Oryctolagus cuniculus: one gene and its partner. Each later gene encodes a partner of the first gene's protein in a complex. Links are inferred from orthologs where the notes say so. Each region holds a gene or a part of one and is shown on either strand. Other genes may lie near its edges. The genes, in order: ARID2 and PBRM1.

Region 1 (2,885 bases):
TTTTAATAGTTTTCACATATAAGGCAAACTCGAAATCATTTTGTAGTTAAAATCCATGTATCTGTCTCCTTGCTTATGCCGTTCATGTTCTTATAACATGAGCTCAATCAGACTTGCTCCACCCTGCCAATCCTGTCTGCTTTTCACAACGTGTGTGAGCTCAGTGTCACTCCTTCTTCGCAAGGTCACACACTCACTTCTGTAATCTCTCATCTCTGTGACAAAGCACGTGAGTGTTGCGATTCGGGGACCGGGAACATCTGTGGTTCTGCATTTTTAGAAAGCAGCTGCTGTAATGGAGTAAGTCAAGCTAGATGGAGTCACTTTTCATCCTGTGAAACTCGGCCCGTGGTGTGAACTTTGATTTTATTCCTCTCCAGCTGTTCTCTGTCACATGAATCTTCCGAAAGCATGAATGAAGACAGGGATGCCGTGCAGGCTTCCTTAGATGGGAAGGCAGCACGGGGAAGACGCTGAGGGGCCCTGGCCACTTCCTTTATGCTGCACTGATGTGGCCTGGGTGTGCAGCTAAGCAGTTTCTGTTCTAGCTCCTAAACTCGTAAAACTTTGGATCAGGAATCTTCACTGTTACCTTGAGACTGATGACTTTCTGTATTTCTTTCCAGATTACTAAAGAGACATGAAAACAACCTGTCAGTACTTGCTATAAGTAACATGGAAGCTTCCTCCACCCTTGCCAAATGCCTTTATGAACTGAACTTCACAGTTCAGAGCAAAGAACAAGAACAAGACTCAGAAATGCTGCAGTGAAACAGAATTCCACTTCGAGTGGGGACTGCAAGTCAGATACATTTCACACACTGTTACTGAAGAAAGCACCAAGTCTTAATGGAACAGAGACCATGGAATGAATTATTTTATCTCCTCCCTTGATGTTGAGAGGAAGTTCGTATTCTGATCTTTGAGCGAATCCCTTTTGTTCTCTGTTTGAAAAAAATCTAAAAAGAAAAAAACTGCTGTGGGATTGTCAATCAGCTCATCTGCAGGATGCCTCTCAGACCTGAAGTCCTGATGGGAACCGGTATGATCAGAATTCAGTACCATCCACATTGGAGTAGACATGGGATCTTGTAAAATCTTCACGAGCAGATGAAATAGAAGCATTAAATATTTTTATCTATATCCAAAAAGGAGCACATTTTTATATTTACTAAACAGTTTAAGCTGGTTTGAATAATTAAAAAGTTTCAGCACACTTATACCCCCTGGTCTCAGAGGGGGCCACCAATATCTAGCTATGGATTGTGTGTTTTGTTTAGAAATCAGTAGCTTGGTTTTCTTACTTGAGCCAATATATTTTCACTTATTTATTATCATAAAAATTTACCAGTCTGAATAGATCTTGTAAATATTTGTGAATAGAAGGAACACCTTTCATGCCGCTGCAGCCACTGGAGATACATTCTGTGGTGTCCTAGAAGCATTACCGATAGGTTCTCACGTTTTCTAGACTTCTGTCAATTGTAAGTAATTGTGATATATTCTGCGCAGTGGACGAATGTTCTTCAATCTTTGTAAATACTTCTGCAAGGTACTGATGCTGTAAAGTCAGACAGTTTTGTGGGACTGTGATTTTTTTTTCTTTTTGTATTATACACCTTGTAGAACTCATTTTGCTGGCTGAAAAGAGTATGGAGTAATATATCTCATGTCATTTTTGTAGAAGAAAAACTCTTTGAAGGTATTTTTTGGTTTTTCCCTAACATGTATCCACTGTAAGCGTTTGTCATGTTTAAGCTCAGAGCTTGGACAGAAATTTTTGTATTTGTAAATTGGTTTGAATACATGGGATTTTATACAGGCGCTCTCCTGTGCTGTAAATGCATTCTGTGCAGTACACTTTCTCCACTCCTTTTCTATCTTCCTAGAGGTGGGGTTTATTGTCTAATTCTCCATTCTTAATACTGTACCACATTCCTGCTCAGATACTGCTCACTTCCCCAAATTGTCTTTCTCCCTCCCAGCGTGAAATGTACCCATTTATAACTGCCTATTGCCTGTTCTATTAGCATCCAAAAATGTGGAAGGCCTCCCAACCACGATTTCTGCTGTGTCCTTAGGATGTGCAGTTAAAAAAAATATAGACCTAACAGTTTCTGTTATAGAATGGCTTTATTTACTTTGGTGACTGTTTATAGTTTTTAAATAAAAGACTGAACATTTTCTTGAGTCCTTCATTTCTGAGTATGCTAAGCTATTTTTTAAAAACCTATAAAGAATCCTAAGTTGAGCTGAAGGCGAGGCCCAAACGGTCACCTACCTATTGTTTCTGTTGAGTGTTAGGGAGCAGAGGAGGGAGGTCCTCTACATGACACATTTGCATGAAATACATGGGAGATGGCCCTGAGGTTGATTTCTGTGTCCTGTAATGCAAAGCAAACCCAAATAATAGCCTGAGTGGTGCCGTTAGTGCTGAATATGCGCTTTTTATAAATTATTGGATACTGCACACTTGCCTGAAATCTTATTGATACTGTGTTTCTTCAGAACCACAGTATAAAACAAATCTTCAAACTGAGTATGGGGGCAGATTCTTTGAGTGAAAGGACATGCAAATTTTTAAATTTTGGATTCGATTGATATCGAATACTCTGATTTCTCCCTGAAGGGGGTTCCTGGCACTGCACCCTGCCAGTTCTAAAATGATCGCTTTGAGAAACCTCACGCAACATCAGTCAGGATTATCTCCCGGCACTGTGAGGCTTGCACTGACATCAGGTGGGGGGTGGGGTGGGGGGGCTTCCTAGTCACTTACTATCCAAAAATTCTTGATTTTTCTGAAGTAATTTTGTGTCCTATCAATGTTTGTCTCTTTATTTCCAAAATAAGAAACTGCAACCGTAGTTAAATCAGCAAAGAGCAAA
Region 2 (3,826 bases), on another chromosome or scaffold:
TGTTGTGAACAAGTACTGATGCTTCTATTTCATTCACTCCTTGTAGGGGCATGAAATGGTGATGATTCAATTTTATCACTCCATGCTTCTGTATTAGATGAATTATTTCTTTTTTCTTTCTCAAGATGTATTTATTTATTTGAAATACAGAGTTGCAGAGAGAGAGAGAGATCTTCCATCCACTGGTTCACTCCCCAGATGGCTGCAATGGCTGGAGCTGTGCCAATCCAAAGCCAGGAGCCAAGAGCTTCTTCTGGGTCTCCCACGTGGGTGCAGGGACCCAAGGACTTGGGCCATCTTCCATTGCTTTCCCAGGCCACAGCAGAGAGCTAGATTGGAAGTGGAGCAGGGGGCCTCGAACCTCTACCTATATGGGATGCTGGCACTGCAGGTGGCAGCTTTACCCACTACACCACAGCGCTGGTCCCATGGATTATTTCTATATAAAGAATTTTTTTCCTTGTTATTTGGTTAAGCAGTGGTACAGTTTTTTGTTTGTCTTGTTTTGGAAGAATAAAAGCCTGATTTTTTTCTCTTTTTTTTAACCAGTTTTTATGATAGTATATCGGTTTACTAATACCCTCTTTTTTTTTTTTTTTTTTTTTTTTTTTTGCCAGGCAGAGTTAGACTGTGAGAGAGAGAGACAGACAGAGAGAGAGTTATAGACAGTGAGAGAAAGGTCTTCCTTATGTTGGTTCACTCCCCTAATGGCTGCTACAGCCAACACTGTGCCAATCTGAAGCCAGGAGCCGGGTACTTCCTCCCAGTCTCCCATGCAGGTACAAGGACCCAAGCACTTGGGCCATCCTCCGCTGCCCTCCCAGGCCACAGCAGAGAGCTAGACTGGAAGAGGAGCAACTGGGACTGATACCCAGTGCCCCTACTGGAACTAGAACCTGGGGTGCCGGTGCCGCAGGCAGAGGATTAGCCAAGTGAGCCACGGCACTGGCCCCCTCCAATTTGTTTTTAAAGATTTATTTTATTTTATTTGCAAGTCAGAGTTACACAGAGAGAGAAGAGGCAGAAAGAGAGAGAGAGAGGGGTCTTCCATCTGCTGGTTCACTCACCAGTTGGCCGCAACAGTCAGAGCTGCGCTGATCCGGAGCTTCTTTCAGTTTCTCCCACGTGGTCGCAGGGTCCCAAGGACTTAGGCCATCTTCTACTGCTTTCCCAGGCCATACCAGAGAGCTGGATAGGAAGTGGAGCAGCCGGGCCTCAAACCAGCCCCCATATGGGTTGCCAACGCTTCAGGCCAGGGTGTTAACCACACTGCACCACATTGCCGGCCCATCCTCCAATATTTAACTACGTTTTTGTTGGTCCTTTTTTTTTTTTTAACAGGCAGAGTGGACAGTGAGAGAGACAGACAGACAGAAAGGTCTTCCTTTACCGTTGGTTCACCCTCCAATGGCGCTGTGGCCGGCGCACTGGGCTGATCCTAAGGCAGGAGCCAGGTGCTTCTCCTGGTCTCCCATGCGGGTGCAGGGCCCAAGCACTTGGACCATCCTCCACTGCACTCCCGGGCCACAGCAGAGAGCTGGCCGGGAAGAGGGGCAACCGGGACAGAATCTGGCGCCCCGACCGGGACTAGAACCCGGTGTGCCGGCGCCACAAGGCAGAGGATTAGCCTATTGAGCTGTGGCGCCAGCCAGTTTGTTTTACATGTATATGTATCATTATTAACAGCTAGCTTTATTGCTGACTTCAATCCATTTTAGTTATTCTCCTTATTGATGCTTATGTTGTCTCAGGCTGGCTCCTGTATTCTTTTAATGTGACCATCGTAAAAAATAGTTGATAGATTTTTTACAATGTGTTGTTTCAAGATACACCAGACTTGGAGTCAGCCATTTGTGAAGGAGTCCTAAACTTTGTATGTTTCTGTTAAAAGGCCAGGATTGTTTGAAATTAACGTTTTAAAACTGTGGTCCTGAGATATACTTCTACTAAGCTGGTCATTATTTCTATGACTTTCAATGGACAGACCTAAAAAATTGAGCATGTCTATGTATATGTGTTTATATTTAAAGATAAAATGCATCGTGGCTCAGTTGATACATTCAATTGCGATTCCAGGCTATGGAGCTTTTATCCATGTTCTTGGTTTTAACATCTGTGTCTCTCCTTCTCCCACAATGAAATCTCAGTTCTGTGGGGTTTCAGAGATGATGGAATAAGTATGCCACGTATCTACTGACTTGCTGTATCCCACATTATTCACAGCTAGCTGAGCGTGACAGTACAAACTGTCCGTTCAAAAATTTGATTTCTGAAAACAGTTAAATAATCTTTTGTAATGTATTTCACTGAAGATATGTTACTGTGTTTTGCAAATCACTTGTTCCTTTCTTATGGTTATGCTACCAATTGTATACAAATTTATATTCATTTATTTCATTTAATCCATTTAACATAAAATTTCTTTCTTTCTTTAGGTAGGAAGAGTGGCATATCTCCTAAAAAATCAAAATATATGACTCCAATGCAGCAGAAGCTAAATGAAGTTTATGAAGCTGTAAAGAACTATACTGATAAGAGAGGTCGGCGCCTCAGTGCCATATTTCTGAGACTTCCCTCCAGATCTGAGCTGCCTGACTACTATCTGACAATTAAAAAGCCCATGGACATGGAAAAAATTCGAAGTCACATGATGGCCAACAAGTACCAAGATATCGACTCTATGGTTGAAGACTTTGTCATGATGTTTAACAACGCCTGTACATACAATGAGCCCGAGTCTTTGATCTACAAAGATGCCCTTGTCTTACACAAAGTCTTGCTGGAGACTCGGAGAGACCTCGAGGGAGATGAGGACTCTCACGTCCCAAATGTGACTTTGCTGATTCAAGAGCTTATCCACAATCTTTTCGTGTCAGTCATGAGCCATCAGGACGATGAGGGAAGATGCTATAGTGATTCCCTAGCAGAAATTCCTGCAGTAGATCCCAGCTTTCCTAACAAACCTCCTCTTACTTTTGACATTATTAGGAAAAATGTTGAAAATAATCGCTATCGGCGGCTCGATTTATTTCAAGAGCATATGTTTGAAGTATTGGAAAGGGCAAGAAGGATGAATCGGTATGTTTTTAAAGCCATTTCTTTTTGAGGATGTGATGTTTAGTGCCAGGCAGTTGAGTGGAAATTGCTTTGATTCAGCTTATGTGTGTGATTATAGTTGTTACCATATTATTCTGACTTAATTAGGCTGAACTTCAAGAGTGAGATATTCCATGGAGAAGAGAGGGCACACTTCTTTCTGTTTTTTGTTTTTTTTTTTTTTTGTTTTTAAGATTTATTTATTTATTTCAAAGTCAGACTTTTGGAGAGAGAGAGAGTTACACAGAGAGGCAGAGAGAGAGAGGGCTTCCATCCACTGGTTCTCTCCCCAGTTGGCTGCAATGACCAGAGCTGCACCAATCCAAAGCCAGGAGCTGCTTCCGAATCTCCCACATGGGTGCAGGGGACCAAGCAATTGGGCCATCTTCTACTGCTTTCCCAGGCCATAGCAGAGAGCTACATTGGAAGTGGAGCAGCCGTGACTCGAACCAGTGCCCATATGGGATGCTAGCACTGCAGGTGGTGGACTCACCCGCTATACCCCAGCACCAGCCTTGAGGGCACGCTTCTTTTTTTTTTTTTTTTTTTTTTTTGGAAAAAGTTACAATGAGGCAGAGAGAGAGAGGTCTTTCATCCTCTGATCCACTCCCCAGATGGCCACAGTGGCCAGAGCTGTGCTGATCCAAAGCCAGGAGCTTCTTCTAGGTCTCCCACGTGGGTGCCCGGGCCCAAGGACTTGGGCCATCTTTTACTGCTTTCCCAAACCATA

What was found.
Region 2: ARID2 (region 1) and PBRM1 share a complex: the UniProt entries of both Homo sapiens proteins name them as parts of the SWI/SNF-B (PBAF) chromatin remodeling complex. The link is inferred for Oryctolagus cuniculus from reciprocal best matches to the Homo sapiens genes ARID2 and PBRM1.

The regions. Positions count from the first base shown.
Region 1 is NC_091440.1:136,658,155-136,661,039, forward strand, and holds the end of ARID2 (AT-rich interactive domain-containing protein 2), read left to right. Parts: intron 1-626; coding exon 627-771; 3' UTR 772-2,184; downstream 2,185-2,885. UniProt on the Homo sapiens protein: Involved in transcriptional activation and repression of select genes by chromatin remodeling (alteration of DNA-nucleosome topology). Required for the stability of the SWI/SNF chromatin remodeling complex SWI/SNF-B (PBAF).
Region 2 is NC_091441.1:97,124,463-97,128,288, forward strand, and holds part of PBRM1 (protein polybromo-1), read left to right. Parts: intron 1-2,435; coding exon 2,436-3,078; intron 3,079-3,826. UniProt on the Homo sapiens protein: Involved in transcriptional activation and repression of select genes by chromatin remodeling (alteration of DNA-nucleosome topology). Required for the stability of the SWI/SNF chromatin remodeling complex SWI/SNF-B (PBAF).